Linked DNA regions of Notamacropus eugenii. The protein of the gene in region 2 interacts with the protein of the main gene of each other region in a pairwise test. Links are inferred from orthologs where the notes say so. Each region holds a gene or a part of one and is shown on either strand. Other genes may lie near its edges. The genes, in order: MARK3, SFN, BAD and CCNH.

Region 1 (7,939 bases), on a different chromosome or scaffold from region 2:
TCATAACTTGAGAGCAGAAAGAGGAAGACATCTCTCTCCAGTCTTCTCATCACTGAAACAAAAAAGAAAAGAAAAACAAAACCCTTATAAGAAATAGCATAGTTAAACAAAACAAATCTCTACATTGGCCTTGTCCAAAAATGTATTTCTCATTCTGCACCTTAAGTCTATTGTCCCTCTATTAGAAGATAGTTAGCATGTTTTGTCATTGGTCTTCTGCAATCCTTGTTGGTTATCACACTAATCAAAAATCTCAAGTCTTTCAAAATTGTTTACATTTATAATGGTATTATTGTATAGATTGTTCTCCTGGTTCTCATCCTATTTTAGATCAGTTCATGCAAATCCTCCCAATTTTCTCTGAACTTTCCCTTTCATTATTACAGCACATATACCATAATTTTAGTCATTCAATTGGTGGGTATTCCCTTATTTCTTTGACACTATAAAGAGCTGAATATATATATACATATATATAATATGAAATCAATTCTTTCTACACATATATACATATATCTATATGTTTTTATACAATCACACATATATATATGGGTGTGTGTAAAACATCTGAGTTCCTTTCCTATTTCTTTGCTCTCTTTGGGGCATTTCTTGGTCAAAGGGTATACGCAGCTTAGTGATTTTTGATGAATAATTCCAAATAGCTTTCTAGAATGGTTGGACCTTTTCTGTTCCTTTTTCTAGCATTTTTTATAACAACTCTTTTCGAGGCATCTAGGTGGCACAATGGCACATAGCTATGTGATCCTAGACAAGCCACTTAACTTCAATTGCCTCCAAACAATGTAACTTCTTTCCTGAACCCCCTACTTTTTAGGACTACTCCTTTTTCCAAGTTTATTTTGTATGTAATTATCTGCATAAATGTTGTATCTCTTCAGCAGAATATGAGCATCACAGAGACTATATCATTTATTTACTTATTTATTGTCTTTAGGCAGCTAGCACATGGAACAATGTCTTGTACATCACAGATGCTTTGAAAAACCTTCTGTTCTGTTGGGGTTTTTTTTTCTTTAGATGAGAAGCTCACTGAGGATAGAGGATGTGCCTTCTATATTTTAATATAATTCACAGGGCTGACTACATGATCACATATTAAGGCTTTGTTTCAGTCTAATCAAATGCAACTCAGCCTTCTGCACAGCAGATGAACACACCTTTTACTTTACTGGGAAGACTGAAGAAATTGATATAAACTTCCTTAATTCCCATCTTCCTCTTTTTCTGAAGTGCTGAATATCCTCACACATCTTTCCCATCCCTTTGTTAAGGCTGTCCAATTACTTCAGGCCATCAATCATCCCTCTTCCAGAGTCTGGTGCCACTCTATCTTACCAGCCATCACTCCCCTTCACATATTCTGCATTCCAGCAAAACTAGACTACTCACCATCTGTTCTTGTCCTGTCTTCTCTGGGCTCTAAGCCTTTGTTTACAAAATCCTCATGCCTGCAATGGGATCCCTTTGCTCATTTCCATCTGTTGAACTCCTTCATTTCATTTAATACCCAACTTGGATGCCACCTTCATGAAACTTGGCCACTTCTCCCCTCGCCTCACCTAAAAATTTCTCTCCCCTCAACCCAGTTTTTTTATAGCAATTTGACTGGATCACTCCTTTGTTCTTATTATATTCTGTGATACAAGTATCATAGTAACTTGTGTACGAGTAATATTCTCCTTGAATTGTAAGCTTTTTGAAGGCAGGCTCTGAGTTATTTAAAATTTTTGTTCCCCAGGGGAACACAGGGACTTGTGCTTTAAAATGTTTGTTGGATTGAACTGAATTCAAGGCCAAATGAAAGACCTACTTTCTCTGAAGCTTTCCCTGACTACTCACTTTTTCAACTCCTTTAGTTCTCTGCCCCAGATAAGAAGCTCCTTAATCATATCTTCCTATTGTTCTCTAGGTGCTTCATGCGGGTCAATCTTGCTTCCCTATTGCTTCATAAACCCCTGAAAGGTAGGGACTACAAACTTCAATTCAACGCAAGGCAACAAACATTTATCAAATGCCTGTTGCATTGGGATGACATGCCACTAGAGGAGATACAAAGTTAAAGTAAGTCCCATGCATACGCTTATGGAATTTACAGTTTAGTAAAAGGATTAGACAAAAAGAGAGTCATAACTCATGATATTTCATAAGAGCATCAAAAGTGTTAAGCAAAATTCTGCTTGAAAAATAAGAAACGAAATTTTTATTAGGTTATTATTTTTATATTTTATATTATTATTATATTAGAAGATAATTTGAATTGAGCTTTAAAGGATAGGCAGGAATATGATTTGCTTATAGTTAGGAGATCTGGGTTCAAATATCACCTCAGATACAGTGTAATTATGCTCTCTAAACCTCAGTTTCTTTATCCGCAAAATGGAGATACTACTGAAGCACTGTATGTGTCTGTCATTGCTGTATTTATCTTCAGTAGATGAAGAACTAAAGGGACAATATTCCAGTTATAGAAAACATCTTAAGCAAAAGCATGCAGGTAGGAAAGTGCATGATATGCTGGGGGACAGAGAGGAATTCAATGTGGAGGAAAATACAATACATGGGACTTTGCCCTTTTCTAGAGGCAGCATGGTGCAGTGGGAAAAATATTCCACTTGGAGTGCTGAACTTGGTTTCAGACCAGATCTAGGCTTGAATCCTCACCCTTCCACTTTACATGACCTTGTGCAGCAAGTCTCTGGGTTCTCATTTACATCATCAGTCAAATGAGAGAGTTGGACTACATGGCCCAAGAAGTCCTTTCCAGCTCTGGATCTGTGATCCTGGTACAAGTTTCTAGGACAGAAAAATTCTGTCCACCATAAACTGTTCATGTTTGGTTGGTTTTGCATTGATTACAGTATGCATAAGCAGAAGAAGCTGGTACTTCTGTATCAATATCAAGCATCTTGTATTTTCAGCTTCTTAAAAGCTCATGATGTACTTGCTAATTTTCTAAACAATACAGTGACATTCTTCTCTTCATACCCAAGCCTCCTGTTCACCCCCAGTTAATCTTCTGGGATAGTAGGCTTATAAGCTGTGAGAACTAGAAGAGACCTTAGAGATTTGTGTACCCTCCTAGAAAAAGCCTTTCCTGTTTCCCTTAGTTGCTTGTGCTCTCTCAAATTATTTGATGTATCTCCCTAGTAGATTGTTGTGTTTGTCCTTCGTTCTCAAAGAGGACCATGACATCAAGATGATGACATGACTTGCAGTTGACTTTGATTTGAGTGAGGGAAGACTGTGTAAGGTCACCATTCTCGCTCCCTTCTCCTGGGTCTTCTGGGACCAGTGGCGTGATATTCATCAGAAGCTCCTTGAGGACAGGCACTGTTTTTCATTTTATCTTTACAGCTGTATCATCTTAGAAAATGATTTGTATATAGTAGACACTTAATAAATGCTTGCTCAATTGTTTACCTAGATGGTGGAGAATAGCGTGAGTTAAAGCTGGAAATAAATAAAGAGGAGTGCCAAGTTACAATGGGCCTTCAATAGCAGACATAAAAGTTTGACCTAATTCATGTTCACATACTTACGATCTATGTGGCCTTGGGCAAATCAACTTACCCCCTGGGCTTCAGGAGATGGGACTAGGTCCCCTCCAAATCCCTGTCCACCTCTAAATCCTGTGCTCTCATCTTTGACCTTATTAACTGTATGTGGTAGATAACAGGAAGTCACCAAACATTTTTAAGTCAGGGACAGGACATGACCAGAGCCATATTTTTGTCTTTTGCTCTAAAGGATGGTCTCTTCTATATTTTCCTAGACTACAGAGCTCAGTTCAGTAATGTCTGGCTGAAAGCTGAAACATGATGAGAAGTAGGAAGGGAAGACATGGTCAAGAAATCAAACAGATGGGACTTAACACCCACACAATGGACTTCCAAAGATTCTTTAAAGGAAATATAGGAGTTAAACTCCACTTCCAGAGAAAGAGGTCAAGGGCAGAGATCACTGGATTTAGATTCAGAGGACGTGGGTTCTTCTAGCTTAGCTGCTTATTAATTATATATTATACAATTGATTATATGTCTACGTAATTTATATTATATATTTTATTATACGTTATAGAAATATTTACTATATTTTATATTATATAAATATTTATTGTATTATATAATTTATTTTATAAATGTAGCATATTTATATAATATTTACTATATTACATAATATAATATATTATTAATTCTATGACCTTGGGCAGGTCCATTCCCTGCTCTGTGCCTCAGTTTCCCCTTCTGTAAAAACAGTGGTTTGGACTTCAAGATCTCTCCTTGGTCTCCCGGGTCTCTTCAGTCTCTTAAACCCTACGACCCTAAAGGTCTTCTTTCACCATCGGCCCCACCTTTTCCCCTTATTACCTTCTCCTCCTCTCCCCCTCTCTCTTTACCCCGCTCCCTTTCCCTTTTCCTTCCTTCCCTCCCTGACAGGAATCCAGTCGCCCTTAGCAACAACAGCCAAGGCTTGCCTCCTCCCTCCTCGGCTATTGGCCGAGCCTCCTCCGGAGGGGCGGGGCGAAGAGGAGGTCGTCACTTCCGTTCCCGTCTGGGGTCGGCGAGGGGAGCCGGAGGCAGCAGAGGAAGCTGGGTGGCGGCCATCTTGGATCTCTGAGGAGAGGCGGCAGCGGGCTGCGGAGATTCGAGCGGCGGAGGCAGGCGGGAGGGCGGGCGGGCGGGGCTGGGGCAGCAAGAGACGGTGAAGGGAGACCGCAGTTCTCCTCCGCCCGAGGCCCCTTCCATGGTCGGCACCTGTGACCCTCCGCAGCCTACCCTCCACTCCTCTCCCAGGGCGGCTGGTGCCGGGGTGCGGAGGCCCCGGCGCTGAAAGCTGAGGGGAGGAAGAGGAGCCGCGGCGGCCGGAGGAGTGCGAGGCTCGCGGGGACCCCGGAGAGCCTGGCGGGCGGACCCCGCAGCCTCCCCTCCCCTGCGCGGCCCGGCCCTGTCCGCCGCCGCCGCCGCCTTCTCTGCCTTCTCTGCTCGTGCTGCCCAGCCCCGGAGCCGGGACGGACCTTAGAGACCCCCTAGCCCAGCCCCGCCGCGCCCTCCACTGCCCTGCCCTGGGCACCGCTCTCCTCCCGAGACTTTCCCACGCCTGAAGCCTCCCCGCCCCGGTGCAGCTGGAGGGGCGGGGAGGGGGAGGGGGTCGGTGTCCGGCCCCGGGCTCGGGGGGGTGGGGCAGCGAAAGCAGCATGAAGCCCGGAACCTGCCCGGGGAATCGTTCGGCCGGTCCTGGGCTCTAGACCACCGTGCGGGGGGCGGGAGAAGGAAGCCACCCTCCCCCATGGTGCCCCTTCCGAACCACTACTGAGACTGCCCTGCGGCCCCCGGACCGGCGAGGCGTGACTCTCCCTCGTAGTCGTTGCTCGTTTTGTCGGACGTCCTTTTTGTTTCTTTTGTTTCTTTTTTTCCCCTTTTTCCTCTCCATTGTGGGGGAAAAAATTAAAAGTGAATTAAAATGTCCACTAGGACCCCTCTGCCAACGGTCATTGAGCGAGACACTGAAAACGTAAGTAGCCACGGTATGGATTTACTTAGTAACAATGAGTTGGAAGTATGTATTTTATTCTGGGAGATGTTTCCAATAGTGTCATTGCTTGAGCGCCCTTTTTTTTCCAGAAGCTAAAAAACAGCTGGGTAAATTTTGTCTCCAAATCTGAAAATAACCAGCCTTTTACTACTCACAACAACGTTCGGTGCAGCACCAGCCCAGAGCCCGTGGCCAGGGTACTTGGAGGAGCGCTGAATTGGGAGGACCCCGGCGACATCCCTGCTTGTCACCTTCGTGACCTTGTCTCTGCACCTCCCAGAGACTCAGTTTCCTTTTTGGTCCGTTGGGGTCATATGATTGGCGGTACCTACCACGCAGGGTTGTTAGGAGGAAAGCTCTATGAATGAATCAGGATTTTGCTTGGTGGGAACAAATCCTAAGTTTTGCTGCAGTCCCTGTTCTTTGGGAGCTTTTGGGTTGGTCAAAACTACTGTATCCTATCTAAACTTTGAATCTGCACGCCATGGGCCCGATTTGATCAAAGAGCACTTGACGTGTTTTCTTAAAAATGTTTATTTTCAAACTGGTTCGGAGTAAAGTAATATCTATTGTTCTTTGGGCAGCGAGAATATGTTTTGTGTTGCCTTGGTGGGAGTTATTGACTAATAAAGTCTAAAAGTTGCTGTTAGACTAGTCCATGTAACTTGCTTGGGTTGTCTTCTACCTGCTCCTTTAGGGGGTTTGGAGACATTGCAGTATTGGTTTCTCTAGACTCTGGTTTTGGTCTTGTATATCTAATGAGATTGTCAGTTAAAGATTGTGTTTTTTAGTACTTAATAAAATAATAAATTGGGCAAAATGAGCTACCATTTATGGCTCATTCTTTAAAAGAAAAGGTTTGAACTGGCAATAATCACAGTCTCTTAAAAAATGCTACCTTTAAGAACTCCTTAAGATCTCTTTGGGTGGTATTCAGAAACCACTAGATTTGAAGACCCTAATTACAACGAATACACACATTTAATAAGGAGTAGTTTTTGTAACATCTGTTTTAAGGAGGGGAAGAGAAACAGAAAAAAAAATTTCTTGTTAAATCAGTTACTATTCTTTGTAATCCCTTTAAAGTAGACTTCCTTCACCTGGTGTCCTGGGAACTTTTTAAAAAATATTTTGATAGCTGTATGTAAATATAGTTGGTTTCTTTGGTAATTCTATGTATTTTATTTTATGCATTTAAAAAGTATTCATAGAAGATCCTTAAGTTTCACAGATTGCAATAGGGATCTCTGAGATTAAAAAAAGGTGAAGATTCCTTGTTTTAAAGTGACCCCCCCCCAACATTGGGGTAAATCGTATCCAAATGAATTGTCTGAATTCATCCAGTTTTTAGTGAAGAACTAATTGGATTGCCAACTAAACTTCTCTGCTAAAAAAATATCTAGTTAAGTAATCTCTGGAAAGTAAATCCTGTACTTAAATTTAAAAGTTTATTGACAGCTAGATTTAAAAGCTTTTATTACATTCCTACTATATGCCAGACACTGTTCCAGATTCTGGGGCTACAAAGACAAATGAAAAAGGCCCTGTCCTCAAGGAACATACATTCTGTTGGGGAAACTATGTACACAGGCAAATAAATACACAATATATACAAAGTAAATAGAAGGTTAATTTGATGAATTGATGAGTGGCAACTGCTGACATTAGGGAAGACTTCGTATAGGTAGATGGTACTTGAATGGAGCATTGAAGGAATCTAGGAATTTTAAAAGGTAGTGATGAGCAGGGAATGCCTTCCAGGCATGGGGAACTGTCTGCCAAGCTACAGAAGCAGAAGATAGAGGAGCAGCAAGTAGGACAGTTGGGTTGTACAGTAGAGTTAGAGAAGATGTAATAAATCTTAAAACATGTTCGTGCCAGACCATGAAGTGCTTTAACAGCCAAACAGAAGAGTTTATATTTTAATCTTGGAGAAATAAAGAGCTTTTGGGAGTTTTTGAGCAGGGTACTGGCCTAGTCAGTTTTAGTAGTATTACTTGGGCACCTGTGTAAAAGGTGTGTAAGTAGGGGAAATGACTTGAGGCAGGAGGATCAATTAGGGAGATTTCAGTCCAGATGAAAAAGTGGATGAAGGCATATACTTGGACTGAAACCAGTAATGGGTGAAGGTGACTGATTATAGACTACCTTAGGAAAAGTTTCCTTGCTCTAAGTGTTCTTCACACTTAACTACCACACAGTATCAAATGCCTGAGTTTAATCCCCACACTGCTATTTGTTAGTTAGCCATCTGGTGATTTAATCTCTTATAAAATTTGGGACAGAGTATCTCTTGTATATAATAACCTTGAGTACTTGGTTAATAACAATAGGTCGAAGTTGGTACGAAATTATAAATGATATGTTTTTCTTAAATGCACTACAA
Region 2 (6,578 bases):
ACCACAGCTCCTCCGCACATCAGTACGCTATCATACATAGACTGTCATGACTTGCTCTGGCCCCAGAATGCCTTGTGCTGGTGCTGAGCCTTGTCCTGTGCTGATGAGCCTCTGCATACTTCTCAGAAAGCACATGCCATCTTTCCCCAGGCTTCTGCTGGAAATCTTTCCAGCTTGGTAGGGCCTGCTAGCACTTGCCACAAACAGACCTTCCCAGGCCCAGAGTCACCTCCATGACATAAAGTGGTGTCAGAGAAGGATGAGTAGAAATATGAGTTAGTTTGGCCTTTCTGGTTGAGGATTCCCTTTTGGTTTCTGACCTAAATCCCGTCCTTTCCTCTCAGGGCTGGTTTGGAGAGGGCCTGAACAGCCAATGGCCACCTGCCTTCCCCAGAATAACTCTTGAGTGCCAAAGCAAAGCCTGTTATTATCAGGTAAAACATTATTGGGTAGCCATGTGGCACTGAAGGCTGGGGCCCTGCCTTCCTAAAGGGGATGCTCTGCGCAGGGGAGGGAAGGCAGGATGGGGAAAGCAGCCGTTTCTGCTGACACAGGGCACTGAACAGGGTGCTCTCATGGAGCTGTACTGGGAGAGGCCGTCCAGACCTCCCTGAACAGCCAGGCCTGGACCTGCTGCCTCCTCAAGTGATAAATGGAGGCCTGGAGGCACAGGGAGGTGCCCAAGACAGGAACTGAGTCATAAGTCAGGGAGGTACAGAATCCAGGCAAACTGAGGAGCCTGAGAAAAGTTAAGGGGCTGCCCAAGGCCCCTAGCTGCTAGGGAATATAGGATATCTTACCTTGTCCAGAGTTAATAACTGCCTTTTAATGCATGCAAAATGTTTTACACTCAACCTTTCTCCTTTGGGCCCCAAGGATGGAACTTGAAGAATGAGAGTAAGGAGCTATCATAAAGATACTGCTGCATTTTATAGATGGGGAAACTGAGTCTCAGAGCTGAAGTGATATCGGATCATAGAACTAGAGCAGGGAGGCCATCTAGTCCAGCCCTTTTGTTTTACAGATAAGGAAACTGAGATTCAGAAGTGGGGACTTGTTGAAGGTCACACAGCTAGTAACTGTCTGAGGAATACTTTGACCCCAGCAATTCCTAACTCCAGAGACAGTACTCTATCCACTGTTCTAACCTGTCTCTGTCAAATGAGAGAAGGCCATGTTCAATAGGGGTTGGGAGGAGGGGTGGCAGTTTGGAGAGGTCAAGCATATATTGAGAAGGCTGTAAGACAATATTAATGATGAGAGGAGCCTTAGAGGTATCAAATTAAATTCTTTCATTTTGCAAATGTCCCTTGCCCCAGAGAAGGGAAGTGACTTAGGCATCCAGGTAGGCAGTGACAGTCTGGACCAGAAGCAGTCTCATGACTGACGGTCAACAGACATTTATGGAGCGCTGCTACGTGCTGGGCTCTGTACTACATGCTGAGTATTGGAAGAAAGGCAGAGAAACAAACCATACAACCCTAGACCCCACTTCAGAGGAGCTCACAGGCTGAGGGGGTGACCTACATGTCCAGGGGAAGCTGGGAGATTCTCGGAGGGAAGGCTTCACCATCCAGCATGAATTCCCTTCCATGGGCTGGGCTGTCATAGGATAACTGATCTGGGAAGGTACAGTGAGAAGCCAGGTTTCTGAATCCCTAGGGCCAGTCCTGCCCTCCTCCAGCACTGCTGCATCCGGAGATGGAGAAGCTGAGAATGAGTGACAAGCACTCCAGGAAGGTGCTGGAGAGGTCTGGAACCGATTTAGGCCAGGTAGAGGGAAGAGTGGTACCAAGACAGAACTGATCCCAGGATCAGCTCTACAGCTAGGAGGGCCCTTAGAACATAGGATGTCAGGACTGGGAGGGCCCTTAGAACACAGAATGTCAGAGCTGAGAAGTCTCTTAGAAAGAGCTGGGGGCACCTTAGAATACAGGATGTCATGACTACACATGTATAACCTAGGTTGAATTGCTTGCCTTCTCAAGAGGGTATGTGGGTAGGGAAGAAGGGAGACAAGGTTTTAAAAACAAATGCTAAAAAATTCTGTTTACGGTAACTGGGAAATAAGATATACAGGCAATAGGGTGTAGAAATCTATTGTGGCCTACAAGCAGTAAAGGGAAAAGGGATAGGAGGGGGCGAAAGAGGAAAGGGCAGACTGGGGAAAGGGGTAACCAGAATGCACACTGTCTTGGGGTGGGTGGAGGGGAGAGAGATGGGGAGAAAATTTGGAACTCAAAATCTTGAGGAAATTAATATTGAAAACTAAAAATAAACTAATTTTAAAAAAGAACACAGGATGTCAGAGCTAGAAGGGGTGGAGATGAGGTGGGGGACCCAGGTATTTAGAGCTACTTAATTTTATAGCTGAGGAAGCTGAGGTCTGTAGAGAAGAAGGTCTTGTTCAGTGTAACAAGGTCAGCAGCAGCGCTGAAATCCAAGCCCAGGTCCTCCGACTACAAGCCCAGTGGTCTGTCACCTACCCCAAAATCTCAGAAAGAAAACTAGGGACAAACCTTATCCCCTTTTCCTTCCCAGTAGAGCTAGCCTGGCTTGGAATCTCAACCCCTACACCAAGGATGCCTTGACGACGATGACTGGAGGAACTTCACCTCCACCCACGTGGATTCCTCCGGTGAGCAAGGTCTTTCTCACTTCTAACCAAAATCCCTCCTGATTCACCAAGAGTCTGCTCCCTCTGGCTAGGTGTGACTCTGTCTTTCCTCCTTAGCAAAGAGGCTGCTGTCATGAGCAGGGAAGGATGACTCCTAATGGGACATCAAACAGACTTGGGCAGTGGCTTCCCCAAGAACAGGTCATTTGCACCCATGTAGGTGGGTACTAAGAGAAGCCGGGGGAGGTAGGGCGCTGCTTGGTAGCCCTCGAACAGGGACCATAGAGGAACTGGATGAGAGAATCCCGGACAGATTCCCAAAGCAGGAAGCCTCACCCCTGAACACTAGACCTGCACTTTGTAGAGCTGTGGGGTGGGGCTATATGGGCAGGAGCCCCTTGGTGTTCAATAGCCACCACCGCCCCGTAGGCAATGTGCCAACTCCCTCGGGTGTGGCTCTCCGTTGAGGTGGAGTCAGAGCCCGGACTGGAAAGGAGGTGTGATCCACTGTGGCCTGAGGGCACAGAGAAGGGGTACTGCTACTTGCCCCCCTGCCCAGCAGGGGGCCATGAATAGAGGACAGGGGCAGAAAAAGATCTGTGAAATAAATTAGAAGTGGCTGAATAAAATCCCCATAAGAGTCCTCATATAACAAGACCTTGGCTATCCATGCTGTCACCACTGCCTCCCCTGGGAGTCAATACCGCCCCCCTCCCAGGAACTAAACTGGGCCTAGAGCCCAGGTGTCCTACTTGCCAGCCTCAGACAAATCAGTGGAGCCTGGCACTAGGTCAAAGGTGAGTCAGAGAGGAAAGTGGGGCAGCTGACGAAGTTGGGGACCCCACCCTCTCCAGGGCGCCCACATGAGCCTCCCTGATACTCTATGGCTTGGGAGGGTACTGCCAGACACCTAAGCTTGGAGCCCAGCCACAGCAATGTCCCTGGGGAAAGTCCTCCAGCTAGTGGGAGCTGGTTGCTCAGTTGAAAGGGAAAATTGCAGTGTAATGGGGATGGTATTGGGCCCAACTGGGTGGCTAATTACAAAGGATGGGCCTCCAGCGTCCTCGCTTGTTAAACTCATCTTTAAGTGGCACATTGAGATGCCACCTCAACAATCTGGGGGGGAGGGGAGGAGATTTAGGGAGCAGGGCTGTGGGGTCCTTGCTTAGCTCTGGAGGGCTTCTCAGATAGGAGTATGCCTAAGGCAGAGAGATGCCTGGGGCCCTCCCAGGAGGATCAGTAGGAACCAGCACTGCCCATTCCCCAGGGATATCCAATACAACTCCTGGCATATTGCAGGAGGCTGCCAGGCTGGGCCCACATGGTACCTGTGCCACAGGTGGAGTGCTTCCTCCAGTGTCTTCTAGACCCTGGCTAGGGGCTGAGTAAGGGCAGAGTTTGTTGGAGGGCATTCAGATATTCTGTGTTTAAAGTCAAAAGACCAGCTTTTATTAAAGGGGTGCTTTGTCCCGCAGACACAGTCTCTGTTACACACACCCCAGAGTGAGTGCACCCTGTTACTGAACCATCCACACACTCCCCCATCCCACCATTCACATCTGACCGTACAGACCCATAAGGGACTGACCATTCCTATTTCCTAAAAACTAATGGGGTTTAGCGATTTCAGGAAAACCTCAAGCTACTTTCTAAGCCTCCCACTCCCAGACTCCCTGGGTCGTGATGAAGAAGCCCATTATTGTCCGCGGTAACTGGGAGATCAACCTGGGGACCCAGAGCAGGCCCCTGAGCATTGCAGAGCCTGTGGGACAGAAGGCCCCGGGAGGCAGCTGCCTTAGGTGGGGCCCACGCCTGTCTTTCTCCGGTTGAGTATCCCCATGATGACTAATGCGCCTCCTGTCCTGGCCTCTTTACCTTTAAGGAGCAGCCAGGAAAAAAAAGAAAGAAAGAAAGAAAAGGGCCCAGGACTGGGGGAGGCAGGAGCCAGAGGCCCAGCCCCGCCTCCCGCCCAGCCCTGCCCCTCCCCACCCCTGCCAAAAAGCCGGGCTGAGAGGGAGAGGCTGAGCAGAGGCAGAGCCCAGGTGCCCCGGGATTCAGCGCAGCCCCGACCCAGCCCCAGCCCGAGCCATGGAGAGAGGCAGACTGATCCAGAAGGCCAAGCTGGCGGAGCAGGCCGAGCGCTACGAGGACATGGCCGAGTTCATGAAGGGCGCCGTGGAGAAAGGCGACGAGCTGTCGTGCGAGGAGCGCAACCTGCTGTCGGTGGCCTACAAGAACGTGGTGGGCGGCCTGCGGGCGGCCTGGAGGGTGCTGTCCAGCATCGAGCAGAAGGGGGCCGAGGAGGACAGCGCCGAGGCCAAGGAGCGCGAGCCCGAGGTGCGCGAGTACCGGGAGAAGGTGGAGGGCGAGCTGCGCGCCGTCTGCGGCATCGTGCTCGGCCTGCTCGACTCGCACCTCATCAAGGACGCGGGCGACGCCGAGAGCCGCGTCTTCTACCTGAAGATGAAGGGCGACTATTTCCGCTACCTGGCCGAGGTGGGCACGGGCGACGACAAGAAGAGCACCATCGACTCGGCCCGCGCCGCCTACCAGGAGGCCATGGACATCAGCAAGAAGGACATGCTGCCCACCAACCCCATCCGCCTGGGGCTGGCGCTGAACTTTTCCGTCTTCCACTACGAGATCGCCAGCAGCCCCGAGGAGGCCATCTCTCTGGCCAAGACCACCTTCGACGAGGCCATGACCGAACTGCACACCCTGAGCGAGGACTCCTACAAGGACAGCACCCTCATCATGCAGCTGCTGCGAGACAACCTGACCCTCTGGACGGCGGACAGCGCCGGGGAGGAGGGCGGCGAGGCACCGCCCCCCGAGGAGCAGCCCCAGAGCTGAGCCCCGCTCCCCGGCGCCCCGACGGCCCCTTCCGTTCCCTGTCCCCCGCCCCGGCCTGGCCCCCCTCGGGAGAGAGGACTTGTGTGTGGGGCGGGCCCCCGGATCCCTCTCCCTCCCTGCGCCCTGCCTCCTCCTCCTCCCCTCCCCAGCCCCTTAGCCCCCCAACCCTACCCCGCTGCGCGCCCCGGCTCTGGAGCGACTCAGACGCGAAAACGAGGGCAGCTGGGCAGGGAGCTCCGGGAGTCTCTCCGTCTAGGCCCAGGCTATCAGGGACGGTGGTGGCAAGAGCCCCCACGATCGTCCCAAGATCTCTGGCTCTCTGAGCTGGCCCCGGGGATCGCCCCCCCGGCGCTCTCCCTGTCATCTCCTGCCCCTGCTCCCTGTGGTTCTGAGGGATTGGGAAGTGCCAGGCCCTTAGGGGCTTGGGAGGGACTGGACTGGTGGGGCCCAGAGGTTGTGTGAGTGTGTTGGAGGAAGGAAGAGTGTGTGGATGTGTTTGGGTGACAGCGTGTGCTCGCGCGCTGGTGTGTGTGTGCGACTGTCAGAGAGCATGTCTGTCTGAGTGTGACAAAGTTCCTTCTCAATAAAGAAAGCTTCCCTGACACTCCTTTTGTCTTTTTGCCGTCTGCGTCGGAGGGGCAGGTGGGAAGGCTCACTTGATGGGGCGGGGCGGGGGAAGGTGTTGGTTCTGAGACCTGTCTTCTTTCTGGTTCTAGAGGCCAGCATTACCTGGCCCTCACCCCCAGGGGAGCTGGCCCATCCCAAGGAGCAGCCGGAAGGGATTTGGGGTAGATTACCTCAGAGTTAGGTGGGGTTGAGGGGTGGGGTGGGGCAGGGTTTTTTTCTAGTGACAGAATCCAAGGTCAGGGACTAACCCTCAGTCCCCAGGAGAGTTCACATCGGAACAGAGGATTTCAGAGGACTCCTTCCTCTTCCTCGAGCCCTAAGATAAGGATCCGTAAGAAACAGCCCTGGTGCTGGAGTGGGAGGAAAGTTGGACCTGAGAAAGCCAGATCTCGGGGTGGAGGAGAGGGGAGGCTAGGGCAGTGTTGAGAAGAAATGAGAGTGAAGTCAGATTCCAGGACAGGTGAGATGAGAAGCCACAGAT
Region 3 (7,921 bases), on a different chromosome or scaffold from region 2:
GGCCCTCAAGGGAAGGTTGGAGTACAAACCTGAAGTGCTATGGCAGCGATGCCCAAGGACCCGAGCTGGCCACGGCCACTCACAGTGCTGAAATGGAAGGGTCTCAACTTTCTATCTTTCTCCAGAGTTGTCAGGAAGTTCAGTGGCGTAGGGTATAGACAAGTTACTCCACTGCTCAGCTGGGCCTGTTCCCCACATGCCACAGTGCTTTGACTAGCCCAGATTTCCCCTTTAATGGTCTTTCATCACCTGCAGGAGGCATCTGATTAAAATAGGTACAGTACTGGACCTGAAGACCTGATTTCAAATCCAGCCTCAGAAATTTACTAGCTATGTGACCCTGGGTTCTATAAAACGGGGATGATAATAGCACCAACCTCCCAAAGTGACTGGGAAAAATCAAATGAGTTCACATATGTAAAGCCCTTAGTACAGTGCTTGGCACAAGTAGATGCATAATATGTGCTTATTCTGGGGAAACTAGGTGGCACAATGGATAGAGTGCCCAACCTGGAGTCAGGAAGACCTGAGTTCAAATTTGAGCTCTGATACTTATCAACTGTGTGACCCCAGGCAAGTGAGTTAATCCCGATTGCATTTCCCCATTAATGAATAAATATTTATTCCCTTTCCCTTCACTGGCACTGTACTTTTTGAACTTGGAGTCCTGCTAAGTTCTTTCAGCGAGTGCAAGGACCCTTAGTTTAGGACTGGCAGAAATCTCTCTTCTCTGACCCCTTAGGAGCCTTCATTCTGAGGTCTGTCAAGGCCAGGCAGGCCTCTCAATAAGGCATTCCACCTTGCCACTGGAGCTCTCAATCCCCAGGACTGTTCCACTCAATGAGTTCTGGACCTGGTTGACTGTCTTTCTCCCCTTCCCATCCATCTCTTCTCATACTTGGAAACTTCATACATGATCCTACCTAACTACTTGGTTCTTCAACCCACTCAGTTTCTAGGATCTAAGCCTCCATGACACCCCAGCTGTACAAAGAAAAGACAGATGATCACACCCTTGGTCTTTCCACCTCCACCCCCACCCCCTGACTGTTCCTCTTCCAGGTTCCCCTCCCAAATTCTTTTATCCAATCATTCCATCCTTCCCTTCAGCCTGTTTTTTGTGCTCATCTATCACTCTTACACCGGCCACACTGTCCTCCCTTCTCCATCTCAACCCCTTGTTGAACCAACTCAAGGAACGCCATGTTCTTCTCTACCCTCTTTTCCCTATTTGTAGATCCCATCTGGCCAAGCCTCCACCCTGGATTGCTCCCACCTTCTACCTCTTTGCTCCAGTTCATTGCGGAGGGGGGCGGGGAGGAAGGAGTAATAGGAAATCACAGAACCAGGTTGATTGGGCCCATTACACACTGATGACATCTGAGCTTAACTGAGCCTACACCGCCACAAAGCAAACTTTTTATTTTTCTCCCCACACTCCACAGGAACTGTTCCTTCTCATCTCTCTCCTCTTCAGTCTCTGCCAGTCTGCCAGCTCCTTGCCAGCCACCTACAAACATAACTATGGTTCCTGTACACTCACCCAATCTGCCCATCCTCTCCACAACAGGATCTGTTCAGTCTTTGGACCATTTATTCACCTCCCCAGGACTCTAGAATCTAACTCCATTGGCCTTCTGACTCTTCCTCTAAAAAGATGATCATCTTCAGATTCCAGGCCTTTGCACTGGCTGTCCTTCATGCTTGGAACACACTCTCTCCATCTAACCTGGTTTCCCTGCACTTCTTCAGGACTCCTTTCAAATCCCACATTCCACAGGAGGCCTTTCCAGGTCATCTCTGCCCCATGGTGCCTTCCCTCTGGAATTAACTCCCATTTATTGAGTGTGTGTCTTTAGAGGGCAGGAACCTTGTCTTTGCTTATGTCTGTATCTCCAGCCTTTGGCACTAATATGTGCATGATATTTGTTGACTGACCTCAAATCCTACCTTCTGCAGGAGGTTTTTCCCAATCCCCAGCAGTTATTACTGTTGCATCCTTGGCCATTGCCAGTTCTCCTGATGAATATCTGGCCACTGCACCCAGATGGCTCTGGAGGAGGAAGGGAGGCTGGTGACCTTGCACAGCCCTCCCTCACTCAGACCAAAGTCAACTGCAAGTCATGTTATCTCCCTGATGCCATGGTCCTCTTCCTGAACAAAGGACAAACACAGCAATAACATATGTATGAGTGTGTATGTATATGCATATATATATATATTTGTGTGTGTATATATACCTATATTTATATTTACATGTCTCCCCCATAAGAATGTGAAACAGGAAGATTTTAATTCTTTTTATTATTTACCTTTCTTTGAATCCCCAGAATTTACCAATGTCTCATACTTAGTAAGCTCAGTAATTGTTGATTTGTTTGACAGACTGATTGACTTCAGGCGATCAGCAGCACTCTGCAGGGTCTGGGATTGTCTAGGGCTAGGTCGCTGGGAGAAGACAGGGCTTCAGTCTGTGCCCGAGAAGCCCTTTCTAAGGCTAAATGTCTTCTTCCATGCAAGTGAGTTGCTCAAGCATCTGACTCAAATAATTGGGGGATGCCTATTTTGCATCTGAAGACCTTCCTCTCCATCCCCTGGTCTTTAGCCCCTTGGGGCTCCCTAGGGGATACATCACCATGGGAATGTCGTTAGGTCCTTTCAGTCTAATTCACTCTCCATGTCCCCATTTTGGGTTTTCTTGGCAAAGACATTGGAGAGGTTTGTCATTTCCTTCTCCAGTTCATTTTACAGATGAGAAAACTGAGATGGAGAGGTAAAGTGACTTGCTCAGGGTCACATAGCTAAGGGTGTCTGAGGCCAAGTTTTAACTCAGGACCATCAGTATTCCTGACTCTAGGCATGGCATTGTAGCCACCGGATCACCTAAGTACCCTATTTCATTACGCATATAATTATTATGAGAGGGTAGGCACAGAGCCCTAGACCCAAAGTCAGGAAGATTCATTTTCCTGAGTTAAAACCTGACCTCAGACACTTTCTAGCTGTGTGACCCTGGTTGAGTCACTTAACCCCCTTGCCTCAGTTTCCTCATCTGTAAAACGAACTGAAGAAGGAAATGGCAAACCGCTCCAGTGTCTTTGTCAAGAAAACCTTAAATGGGGTCACAGAGAGTAAGACACGAAAACAACTAGACAACACAAACATAATTCTTATAATCATAGTCATGACATCAAAAACATAAAAGGCAGCACTGGGGAGTAGACAGAAGGCCAAGTCTAGCCTCTAATACAGACTGGTTGTATGACCCTGGGAAAATCACTGCTTGACTTCCAAGCGGTCCCCATAGGATGCTCGAAGAGTATTTTAATTTAGGAACATAGACTTAGGGCCAAAAGAGACCTCGGGGCTCTTTACAGATGAGGAAAGTGAGACCCAGAGAAGGAAACAACTTTCCCAAGGACACAAAAGATTCAAATACTGAATCTTGGACCCAATTTCATTCAGTACTTAACTGGACTCCAGTTTCCATCAGGCCACTGTACCTGGCCTACAATTTCCAGCCATTTTGCAGGTTTAGGTTGTTAGACAGTCTAGGAGGTCCCTTCTACCGAGAACCTCACAAGTTCCAGCAAAAATAATAGCTATTATTATTAAATACCTCTCTTAACAGTCAACAAACAATTATTAAGTACCTACTATGTGCTAGGCAGTGTGTTACCTGCTAGGGATACAAAAAGAGACAAAAGACAGGCCTTGCACTCAAGGACTTCACAATCTAATAGAGACAGACAAGTAAACCACTCGGAACAAACAAGCTACAAACCAGATGACTAGAAAGAGAAGGAGAGAGCGAAGAGGGACTGGGGATGGCTTCTTGTAGATTGGGAAGGGGGGACCTTAGTTGGCACTTAGGAAGCCTGGGAGGTCCTTGGGGTAAAGGTGACCAGGGAGAGAATATTCCAATTGGCAAAGGCTTTCCCTGAACCACCAGCAGACTGTGTATCCCCATTTTACAGAAGAGGAAACTGAAACTTTGAGACACACAATTAATGTGTCGAAGGCGGGCTTGAAATCCAAGTCGTCAAAGTCCAAAGACAATTCCCTGCCAACCACTCTTGTTTTTTAACTGAAGATGAGTCGGTGTTGGGCTCAGAATGGAAGTTTAACTGAGTCATTCTGGAACAAAGAAAGTGAGGAATAATTTCCAGATGGGCCAGACCAGCCTAGACATCCAAGCAGGAGTGGGTGAGAAAGTGGGGAGGGAAGGGAGAGGGTAGAAATAGTCCGCTTTGGAGAAAGAGTGCTCAGGTTCAAACCAGTCTCTTCTCCCCATCTAAGTGGGGTGACCTTGGGCAAGTCCCTTCACTCCCCAAGGGCCTCAGTTTCCTACTCCGCACAACGTGGATCATTCAGAAAGTTGGTCAATAAGCATTTATTAAGTGAAGGAAGAAAGAAAAATAAAAAGTTAAAGTTAACTGCCCAGGAGGAGCTTAGCTTCTAACGAGGAAATCCACGAGTGGATACAAGGTAAACAGTGGCCGTCACTGGAAGGGGTCTCGGAGGGAGGGGATTGGAACCGAGCCTGGGAGGAGGGGAGGGGGAGGCCCATGGCAGGAATGGGGGAAGGGGGGAGCCCGGCTAGCTAGAAGTCGAGGCTCTCGCAATCTCGGCCCCGGTCCAGGTCCGCAGAGGAAGCCAGCGCAGGACCAGAGGAAGGAAGAATCAGAGTGGCCGGAGAGGGGAGGGAAGAAGCCTGGTCGCCGGGCCGGTCAGCTGGGGCGGGGGGAGGAGGGGCCAGGGGCCCGGGCTGGGGGAGGCCCTCCACGCCTCCTGCTTTCCCCTCCTCCTCCTTCCTCCTCCCTCCCAGCGGGGGTGACATCGCGGGAGCTGATTGGGTCAGTTTCATGACAGTTTCACTCACCCAGGCAACGGGGGCTGGACTCCTAGGGAAACCGGAGGGAGGGAAAGGGGAGGAGAGAGCCCCAGAGCCCCAGAGTGGGGAGCCCGGGAGCTGCCCCCAGGCGCAGACCCAGAGACAGAGAGAGAAGGCCGGGGCTGCCCATCCGGGTAAGCCTCCTTCCCCCGGGGCCAGGGCCAAGGGCAAGCCCGGGCTTGGGCTGCAGGGAGCGGGCCCCAGCCGGGGAAAGAGGGAGGGAGGGAGGGGAGAAGGGAGGAAAATCCTCTGGGCTGCCCGGCGGGGATGGAAGCTGGGAGGGACAGAGGCGTAGCTGCCCGACCCCACCTCCCCAGCCTCAGTTTCCTTCTCTGTCTAATGGGGAAGACAGGCTTGGCCCCACCTCCCTCCTCGTGGGGATGCTGGGAGGGAAGGGCTCTCCTGGAGCGGAAGCTCCCTCTGCCGGTGTGGATTACAGCCCCAGCCCTGGCCTGAATCTTCGGAAGAGGGGTCCCTCCCCATAACCCCCCTACAAAGTCTGCACAGGAGCGACTATGGGCAAGGCACTGCCCTCTCTGGCCTCAGCTTTCTCCTCTGTCAAATGGGAGTAAACAGCATTAAACTGAGAGGTTGTGGGGAAAGTGTTTGGCAGGTTTTAACAGGGCTGCAGAAAGGTGAGTTCTTATCTGGGACTCATTCTTAGCCGGGGAGGGGAGCTAAGCCGAGCCCCAGACCCTTGGCTTGGAAATCCGAGGAACTGGGCTGGACCCTCTGCTCCCCAAGATACCTTGGAACCCTAGCAAGAGCTCTGGCTCTCAAGTCAGGGGACCTGAGTTCAAATCCTGTTCCCAGCTTTATCTGGCCAGGTGAATGATCCACAACAAAATTTAAGTGATGAACGACTGCCAGGCAAAGGAGAGGCAGTCCTTGCCCCTTCGATGAGCTCCAATTTTTTCCTGTTTGTAACTCATTTATACCCTTTGTTTGCATGTTGTCTCTCCCACACACACACACTTTCAGTTAAATTGTAAAACCCTTGAGCACAGGGTCTGCCTTCTGCCTTTCTTTATATCCAGAGTTCTCAGCACAGAGCCTGGCATACAGTAGATGCTTAATCAATGCCTGTTGACTCTCTGACTTTGCTAGGGTGTGGTGGCCTGAAAAGAGTGTTTCAAACCCGAAAGTCATTGGTATGATCAAGTCAACACGAATTGATTAAGCGTGTACTGTGTGCCAGAGGAGCAGCTCCCTGGATCGGTAGATAGAGTACTGGGTCTGGAGTCAAGAAGACTCCTCTTTTTGAGTTCAAATCTGGCCTCACACTCCCTGGCTGGGTGACCCTGGGCAAGTCATTTCACCCTGTTTTTCCCACTTTGCTCATCTGTAAAATGAGCTGGAGAAATCACTCCAGTATCTCTTCCAAGAAAACCCCAAATGGGGTCAAACCCAACTGAGAAAAAACTACAAGTGTACCAGAAGGACATCACTCCCTAATAGGTCAATCAGTCAGTCAGCAAACATGTAGTAAACACCTACTGGGTGTCAGGTGCTGTGCTAAGATCTGGGAATACACAGGAAGGCAAAAGATAGCCCCTGCCCTCAAGAATCTCCCAGTCTGATGGGGAGACAGCATGCCAATAGCTGGGTACAAGTCAAGGAGCTATTAACAGGGTCCGTGGAAGTGCCCAGAGAGGGTATGGGAGGGCTGAGAAGGAAGCCCGAGGAGAGCTGACTGACCCATCCTGGGCAGGAATGGTTGTGGTTCCAAGAAGGACTGAGCTGTTGGGAGCATGGCAGGTACTGCCAGGGATCTATCACACACCTTGGGGCTGGCATCTTGGTCCTCTCTCACACAATGAAAGCTCCTGAAGGCTAAGAACTTTTCATTCTGGGCCTTGTACCCCCAGGGCATGAGGGGTCCACTGGTGTATTAATGGGTGTTTGTTGAGTTTCCTCTGGTCTCTTTACTTACAGATAATAATGACCAACCTTATCTCTTTGGGATTTCCAGTGCACTAGGATATGAGGGAGAAACAGCCCCTCCCCCTTCAAATCCAAACACCCTTGGAGGGCAAGCAGGGAAAATATTACTCTCCCTCTTTAACGGACAGGGCAACTGAGGCCTGCAGAGGAGTAGGATGGGGTTTCAGGCAGTAGGACAGTGGAAAAAGCCTAGGTCAGAGAAACCCAGGCTCAAATTGAAGCACATTGCCTGGGACGCTACCTGGGTGACCTCAAACCCCACCTCGCTGGGCATTGGTTTCCATTTCTGTCCAATGAGGGGGTTAGATGGCAGCAGGACTACTGATCCTTAACACGGTTTCTATAATGACATTTTAGAGAGAGGATAATGACTTGCCTAGAATCCTGTAACTAGTAAGTGGCAGGGGCAGGATTTGAACACAAGTTTTACTGACTCCAGAGCTAAGATTCTATCCACTGTGCCTTAAAGCCTTTTTAATATGTTTATTATTAGGTTAGAAGTAGTGCTGGAGCCCAGCAGTAGGAAGGTATCCTAGCTGGTCCTCAGCACAAGTCCCTGTTTTCAGCCCTGAACTGGCACCCGGTGACCCGGCCTCCCACCCTCCTCCAGAGACTGCCCTGGCTTTGCCCCCAACCTCTGCTCCTCTCCTCTCTTTCCTCATCAGGCTAGATGATGCCTCCCACCCTCTGAGCATGTTTCAGATCCCAGAGTTTGAACCCAGTGAGCAGGAGGATGGCCCAGAAGAAGGATCCTCAGCCTGTGCCCTGGGGGAGCCCAGGGAGCTGGGCAGGCACAGCTTTACTGCCCCCAGCCTGGCCCAAAGCAGGCCGAGACAGAGACCTGAACCTGGAACCCACCACCGAGAGGGTAGGTGCATGCCCCCACCCCTCCATGAGCCTGACTCTGGCCTCAGGTTCTCTCTAGTCTACACCATTGTAGCTGTAACCTGAGAACAGCTAATGCCCTGTGGTAGATGGGAACCCAGGACATGTCCAGGTAGTAAGTAGCAGAGAGCTTTCAAAGGGCACAAAGACTTTTGGGACACCTAAAAGGGAGGGACTGTTTTATCTCCATTTTACTGA
Region 4 (7,964 bases), on a different chromosome or scaffold from region 2:
CCAAAAAACTGTTTTATAGAGCGAGAAAAAAATAGTAACAAAATTCATCTGTAAGAACAAAAGATCCAGAGTACCAAGGGAATTAATGCAAAAAAAAAAAAAAAAAAGGGCAAAGGAAGGTGGCCTAGCTGTACCAGATATAAAACTATACTATAAAGCAATAATTATTGAAACTATTGGTACTGGCTAAGAAATACATTGGTGGATCAGTGGAATAGGTTAGGTACAAGACAACAGTAAATGTCTAGAGTAATCTACTATTTGATAAACCCAAATATTTCACCTTCTGGGATAAGAACTCAGTGTTTGACAAAAACTACTAGGAAAAAATATGGCAGAAACTAGGCATAGACCAACATCTCATAACATAAACTAAGATAAGGTCAAAACAGGTACATGATTTAGACATTAAGCAGAGCAAGGAATAGTTTACCTGTCAAATCTAGGAGAAGGGAAGAATTTATGAACAAACAAGAGATAGAGAATATTATGAAATGCAAAATGGGTAATTTTATTACATTGAATTTGCACTAATAAAACCAATGCAACCAAGATTAGAAGGAACGCAGAAAGCCGGGAAACAATTTTTACAGCCAGTGTTTCTGAAAAAGGCATCATTTCTCAAATACGTAGAGAACTGAGTCAAATTTTTAAGAATACATGTCATTTCCCCAATTGATGAATTGTCAAATGATATGAACAGCCAATTTTTAGATAAAGAAATCAAAACTATCTATAATCATAAAAAAATGCTTTAAATCACTATCAATTAGACTAATATGAATCAAAACAACTCTGAGGTACCACTTCATATTTATCAGATTGGCTAATATGACAGAAAAGTAAAATGGTAAATGTTGGAGAAGTTATGGGAAAACTGGAACACTAATGCAGCGTTGGTGGAGTTGTGAACTGATCCAACCTTTCTGGAGAACATTTTGGAACTATTCCTAAACGGCTATAAAACTGTGCATATCCCTTTGATTCAGCAGTACTACTTCTAGGTCTGCATCCCAAAGAGATCATAAAAAAGAGAAAAGACCCACATGTACAAAAATACTTATAGCAGTTCTTTTTGTGGTGGCAAAGAACTGGAAATTGAGGGGAAGTCCAACAACTGGGGAATGGCTGAACAAGCTGAGGTATATGAATGTAATGGAATACTATTGTGCTATAAGAAATGCAGAGCAGGCAGATTTCAGAAAAACCTAAAAAGACTTACATGAACTGATACTGAGTAAAGTGAGCAGAACCAGGAGAACATTGTACACAGTAACAGCAACACTGTTCAATGATCAACGGGGACAGACTTAGCTCTTCTCAGTAATACAATGATCAAAAACAATTCCAAAAGAGCCATGATGGAAAATGCTATCCACATCCTGAGTAAGAACTGTGGAGTCTGAATGCAAATCAAAATATATTATTTTCATTTGTTTTTTTTCCTTTCTCGTGGTTTTCCCCTTTTGTTCTGATTCTTCTTTCACAACATGACTAATGTGGAAATGTTTAACATTATTGTACATATATTACCTCTATCAGATTGCTTGCTGTCTTAGGAAGGAGCCTGGGGAGGGGGGAAGGAAGGGAGGGAGGGAGTATAATTTGGAACTCAAAATCTTATAAAAGTGAATGTTGAAAACTATCTTTACATGTAATTGGGAAAAATAAGATATTATTAAGTGAAAGAGTCACTATTTGATAAAAATTGATTAGAAAGCATATTGTTGTATGTCAACTCTGAGATGACAAAGGACCCTAGGACAGAGGTTCCCAAACTTATTTGGCCTACTGTCCCCTCTAAAAAAAATTACTCAGTGTCCCTACTTTCTTCAACCTTTTATCCATTTGCTTTTAAAATTTGTGTCATTACTATATATATATATATGTATATATGTATATATAGCATGTATATTTTTACAAATTATTCAAATGTAATTAATAATTTAAATAAATTAAATGCAAATTTAATAACTTTTTTGTAAATTTGTGTTTTCCTGCATTGAAATGCATTGTAACCGTATAGTATCATATTGTAAACAAGTCATTACATGTACATATTCCTAAAGGTTGCACTTCCCAACAATGCTCAACATGCTCATCTGCCAACACTTGCTTGTTAAGACCCGTCTGTAGACTTGACCATTGATCAGTTATAACTTGAATTTGATGTGTTTATTTGGAAAACAATATAATCATTATGACTTTAACTCTGCCACAAAACAGATGAAACACATGAACAGTTTTCAAAATTTCCTAGTTTTCTCTTCTTTCTTTGTACTTCTACTGCCCCCTTATTTTAATTCAATACCCCCAATTGCACCTAAGGTTACTATTGCCCCCCTGGATCATTCCAGTGGCCCCCAGGTGTCGGTGTCACCCACTTGAGAACCTCTGCAGAACCACAGACATGTAGGGAAAGTCATCCCCTCAAGAGCTCCTAACTAAGACTTTTATTATCTGAAGCCCTAGAGAATGCTGAGTGGAATCCACTTTATCACCTCCTCCCCTGATTCATTCCCAATAAGATAATTCTTTTTCCTAGTTTGAGCTGATCTGTCATCCCATTTCCAGCTAAAGAATGTGCTTGCTCTTGTGTATTATTTAGCATATTCTAATCTCTAATTTCTCTAATTCATTTGCTGATTTGTTTGATCAAATAGGTTCACTACCTATTGATAAGGCTCTTTGTGCAACCAGTATTTGGTGGGAAGGGACTAAGTTCCATAGCATAAGCTAAGGGCTACCTCTGTCCTTGAGATCAATCAGGGAAAGAATTTTCATTCTGAACCCACACTCATATCCTTAGAACTCTAGAGACAGCAAAGGTTGACAAAAAATGTCATTCTAGCCCAATACCCTTCAAAGAGATAGGAAAGACCTCTCCATCATGGTATTCCTGGATCCTACCTGATCTTTGCTCACAGCTACTGTCCTGATAGTGCCTGCATGACTCTCTTTTACTCTCCACAAAGATGGACAAAGATTCCGGATCATATCTCCCCATGCCATCTGTGACACTACCGCCCCCCCCCCCCATATAGTTTTAAAACAGATAGCACACACATATATCTAGGGAGTTTCATATCAACTGGTATAAAATGAAATGAATACAACAATTTAAAAAACAAGCACAACCCAGTAAAGGCGAGCAAGTTTGAAAGACTAAAGAGGACCGATCTATCTTACTTCCCTGTCAGAAATGACAAGAGTCTGGTTCACACAAATCTGACGTGATGAGAACAATATCCTCAGTCCCTCTTATTCTTCTTCCTCCCCAGCAAGTTAGGTTGGTTTTTCCTTAAGAGATATCAAAACTATCCTGGAGAGTTAACTGCCTCAAGAGTTTCCAAGTCAACCTGAGGACAAACTGCGAAGATATCAGCTGATGGTGACCCTTAGCCCTGAGGCTGTCCGTGTAGTAGCAGGATCATGCTTTTCCGGATGGAGGGAAGCCTCTTTTCATTAAGTGTCCAAAGGACCAAGAATGACTCATTTATTTCCATTCCACACCAGAGTACCAGCAGCAGAGGGATCCAGCCCCCTGTACCTAAGGTTTGTGTGAAGAGATGAAAAGTGAGAATAAATGGAGTAATTTATACAATGGCTTCAACATTGCAAAGACTACTTTTAATCGATCCTATCAGCAACGCCTGGTAGAGCTGGCGCTTAAAGATCGTCTATAGTACTCAGTAAACTGGGGCTTAGAGGCATCAGGTGACAAGGACACACAGACAGACACAACAAACACACACAGACACAGACACACCCACAGACACACAAAAAGGCAGACACAGACGCACACAGACATACACACACACAGACACACACAGACGGACATACACACACGCAGACACACCCACAGACAGACATACACACCCACATAGACACACCCACAGACACACAAAAAGGCAGACACAGACACGCACACAGACAGACATACACACACAGACATACCCACAGACAGACAGACACACACACATACACACACCCGGATACACACACGCAGACACACCCACACAGACACACCCACAGATAGACAGATACACCCACACAGACACACAAAAAGGCAGACACAGACGCACACAGACATACACACACACACACACACACACACACATACACACACCCGGACACACACATACACACACCCGGACACACACATACACACACGCAGACACACCCACAAACAGACAGACACACAAAAAGGCAGACACAGACACGCACACAGACAGACATACACACACAGACATACCCACAGACAGACACACACACATACACACACCCGGATACACACACACAGACACACCCACACAGACACACAAAAAGGCAGACAGACACGCACACAGACATACACACACAGACATACCCACAGACAGACACACACACACATACACACACCAACACAGACACACAGACAGACAGATACACCCCCACACACACACAGACACACCGCCACGCACCCCGGGCCTGCACACTACATCTGCCTGGTTCTACCTCTCGCAGGGCCAGGAAGGCGCGCCCATCTCAGTGCAGGGCACAATCGCTTCCAGCTTTTCCTCCCTCCGCACATTTTCCTGCCCAGCCCTCCGGGCCACCCTCTTAATAAGACCAGCTGACTGGTCCTTCTAGGTACAGTCTAATTTCCTCTCACAGGGGCTGGGGAGGGAGATTCCTCTTCTCCATCCACAGAGGTCACTGACACCCTAAATCCGCTTCCTGGCACCCCAAATCCTCCCTACTTCGCGCGTAGCCCGACTCTCTGCCCCCTCCCATACCTAGTAAGGGGAGCGCGGGAGGGCGGCGACGACGCAACACGCGCCCTACGGCACACGGCGGGAGGAGTCGCTGCGCCGCGGCCACTCGTCGGCGCATGACGTCACAGGAGAGCTCCCTCCCACGACCTCTACGGCCATAGAAGAAATGCTAAAGCCGGCCCCTCCCCCGCCCCACGCAGAGGCGGCAGCGCCGTGACGTCAGCACGCCGGCCGACGAGGAGAGGCGAGGCGGGGCTTGCTGCGCTTCGTTGTCGGCGTCTCGCGAGGGCTGCGTGCGTTCTCCGGTGCGCGGCGGGCGGCTCGCTCTTCTCCTCCCCGTGTTCTCGGGGCCGTGGGCCGGCCCTGCCGGACCCCTGAGCCTCGGCCGCCGGCCGGGATGTACCACAACAGCAGCCAGAAGCGGCACTGGACGTTCTCGGGCGAGGAGCAGCTGGGGCGCCTCCGCGCCGACGCCAACCGCAAGTTCAAGTGCAAAGTGGTGGCTAACGGGAAGGTTAGTGCGAGCCCCCGGCCCCCCGCGGCCTGGCCCGTGGGCCCCCCCGGGGGTCCCGACCCCCCCGGCCCGCCTTCTGCGGCCTCAGAGTCAGCGAGCCCAGCGCGCCTTCCTGGAGTCGCGAACCCCGAGCTCCGATCCAGCCCCCTGCCTGACCCGCTTCTCTGCCTCAGTTTCCCCGTCTGTCACTTGGAGATAGCAGCACGTGCCTCGAGGTTGCTGCGACGATCCAAGTAGACGTCGGTGCCCCCCGTGGCGGGGCGTAAAGAGCTGCGGAAGTGCTGGTTGTTCCTGTTGTTGAGACTCGAGAGCCGGGGAGCCTCTGAGGCACGCCCCAAGCCTGGAGGGCTAGTGCCCTGCCCGGGATCTCCGGGCTTAGACTCCAACCCAGGACTTCCGGCTCTCTTCCAGGTTCTTTATTTTGCGGAGGGTTGCAGATTGTTTCCAGCTAATGGTTGTGCCTTTTAAATTGGCAGAGGGTCGGTTCTACACTGCGAGAACCCTGACTTGAAATGCATAGCTGCTTTAGGGGTCGCTAACTTGTGGTGTGGAGTTGTGTGGTACTTTCCTTCCTCAGAATAGACCGTGGTGGTCCCAGCCGAGGAATTCATTCTCTTGTGACCCACTAACTGGTGAAGATCTTTATACCTGGCTAAATAGGTCGTAGGACTGCAATATTTATTAAGCACTTAGCATGGCAAGCAGATGCCAGGTATTGGGGATAGAAAGACAGAGAGAAACAGCCCCCACTTTCAGGCAGCCAACATCCCACCAGAGCAGACAGCGGGTGCATCTGTAGGCATGCACAGAATGTAACAGATAATCTTGAGGAGAAGGGGCGCAGCTAGGAGGACCAGGAAAGACCTTGTACAACAGGTGAGGTGGCACTTGAGAGCAGTCACCCTGCAGAGGTAAGAAGGGAAAGCATTCCAGGCATGGGCAGCACCTGGCGTAAAGGCATAGGTAAGAAAAGGCAAGAAGACGATGAGTATGGCGAGGCTGGGAAGTCTTGGTGGGGTATGAGGTGTAACAGTTTCAATCCTAGTATCTCTTTCCATTGTGTCAGACACATGCAAAGATGGTTACTGTTACTCAGAAGTATTCCCCTTCCCTAATTGGAAACCTCTTTCCCCTCTCTGACTTTTGTAAGCCTTACCCCTTCAGAATCTCTTCTTTGCCTTCATTAAGCTCTCCAGTCTCAGCATTTTCTCAGGCTCTGACGAATACTAGTTAGCTTTTTCCACTCCATACTGTCTTCTGCTCTATGATACCTTGCTCATTTGTCCTGTTGTCATTCATCTCTGGACTACCCTCATCACTTTACCTCTCCTGTTCCAACCCAGCTGACCTCAGCTGGAGGAAGACTTCATAAACTTTCTGGCCAGGTACCATTACAAGTTCATATTATCCAGCCTCAACTGAACCTTCACCGCCCTAGGGCAGTCGTTTTAGTGTTCCCTAATAGAGTCCTTATCCAGTTGCCCAGAGAAGGTGACAAATTTGAGGCCGTTTGACAGGAACTCCATTTCCTACTCTGTCCTTCTTTCCTCCAGTCTCAGAGGTGACTTTTTGCCTTGCCAGAGCCAGCCTTTCTACTGTGTGCACCCTTGAGCCCATCACCTTCAGCAGATTGACACACTTAGTCTTCCTTAACCGCTTCTTCAGTCTCAATTTCACTACTGCTTTCAAATATACCTCTTTTAAACATCTCTTGACCCCGCCATCACCTCAAGCTATTGTTTAGTATCCTTTATTTTTCAACCAAGCTCCTTGAAAAAGGTTTCTGCATTCATTGTTTACACAATGTTGAGCCCTTTGTAATCTGGCTTCAGACTTCTTCACTTAACTAAAACTTCTCCCTGCAGAATTGGTAAGGATCTTTTAATTGCCAAATCTGTTGTGGCCCTCTCCTCCTGGATAGTCTCTTCTAGTCTCCCCTTCATCCCCTCCCCCACCTCCAGACTTTTCACACCAATTGCTTATTGGACCAGCGCTTTCAAACTGGATTTCCTGGTGACATCTCAAATTTAACATGTCTTCAACTGAACTCATTAACTCTTCCTATCCATCCTTCTTCCAAACTTGCCCTGTGAAGGACACAACTATCCTTCCTGTCCCCCAGGTTTGTAATGTCAGCTTTATCCTTGACTCCACTTTCCCTTACCCCATGTATCTAATCAGTTGCTAAAGTTTGATATTTCTACCTCTACATCTCTTTCATCTAATACTTTCCGTCTATTCACGCAGCTACCACCTTAGTTTAGGCCCTCATCGCCTCTCACAAGAGTTGCCAAGTTGATTAAGTGAGGTAAAGTGAGATAAAGGTAGTTGACAATAACATTGAGAGGTTGTGAATATGGTTGACTGAAAGGATGATGGGGCCCTTTGGAAGAAGATTATAGGTTTTGGACATACTGTGTTTTCAGTGCCTATGAGACATCAAATTCAAATGTCCAGTGGGCAGGTCATTCAGATCTGGGATTGAACTAAAACTGGGGGATTGGATTTGTAGGTCTGTTCATGTTATGTGTAGATACGCATTGCAACTAATGGTGTAGTGGTTAGGACACTGTAGACAGAAAGCCCTGGATTAAAATCTTGCGTTAGAAACTTGTATAAGATGAGTTTGGATTCAGTGGCTTCTTTTTTTAAAAATTCTATTTTGTGGAATGAAATAAACATTTCCATAACAT

Evidence for each region.
Region 1: the proteins of SFN (region 2) and MARK3 interact in binary tests that used the Homo sapiens proteins (3 or more experiments, as listed by UniProt). The link is inferred for Notamacropus eugenii from reciprocal best matches to the Homo sapiens genes SFN and MARK3.
Region 3: the proteins of SFN (region 2) and BAD interact in binary tests that used the Homo sapiens proteins (3 or more experiments, as listed by UniProt). The link is inferred for Notamacropus eugenii from reciprocal best matches to the Homo sapiens genes SFN and BAD.
Region 4: the proteins of SFN (region 2) and CCNH interact in binary tests that used the Homo sapiens proteins (3 or more experiments, as listed by UniProt). The two-hybrid records come from large-scale screens. The link is inferred for Notamacropus eugenii from reciprocal best matches to the Homo sapiens genes SFN and CCNH.

What each region holds. Positions count from the first base shown.
Region 1 is NC_092872.1:349,732,075-349,740,013, reverse strand, and holds the start of MARK3 (MAP/microtubule affinity-regulating kinase 3), read left to right. Parts: upstream 1-4,939; 5' UTR 4,940-5,481; coding exon 5,482-5,532; intron 5,533-7,939. UniProt on the Homo sapiens protein: Serine/threonine-protein kinase. Involved in the specific phosphorylation of microtubule-associated proteins for MAP2 and MAP4. Phosphorylates the microtubule-associated protein MAPT/TAU. Phosphorylates CDC25C on 'Ser-216'.
Region 2 is NC_092876.1:67,974,600-67,981,177, forward strand, and holds SFN (14-3-3 protein sigma), read left to right. Parts: upstream 1-4,625; 5' UTR 4,626-4,705; coding exon 4,706-5,470; 3' UTR 5,471-6,074; downstream 6,075-6,578. UniProt on the Homo sapiens protein: Adapter protein implicated in the regulation of a large spectrum of both general and specialized signaling pathways. Binds to a large number of partners, usually by recognition of a phosphoserine or phosphothreonine motif.
Region 3 is NC_092873.1:17,129,780-17,137,700, reverse strand, and holds the start of BAD (bcl2-associated agonist of cell death), read left to right. Parts: upstream 1-4,920; 5' UTR 4,921-5,028; intron 5,029-7,503; 5' UTR 7,504-7,531; coding exon 7,532-7,706; intron 7,707-7,921. UniProt on the Homo sapiens protein: Promotes cell death. Successfully competes for the binding to Bcl-X(L), Bcl-2 and Bcl-W, thereby affecting the level of heterodimerization of these proteins with BAX. Can reverse the death repressor activity of Bcl-X(L), but not that of Bcl-2.
Region 4 is NC_092875.1:453,967,021-453,974,984, forward strand, and holds the start of CCNH (cyclin-H), read left to right. Parts: upstream 1-4,953; 5' UTR 4,954-5,154; coding exon 5,155-5,271; intron 5,272-7,964. UniProt on the Homo sapiens protein: Regulates CDK7, the catalytic subunit of the CDK-activating kinase (CAK) enzymatic complex. CAK activates the cyclin-associated kinases CDK1, CDK2, CDK4 and CDK6 by threonine phosphorylation.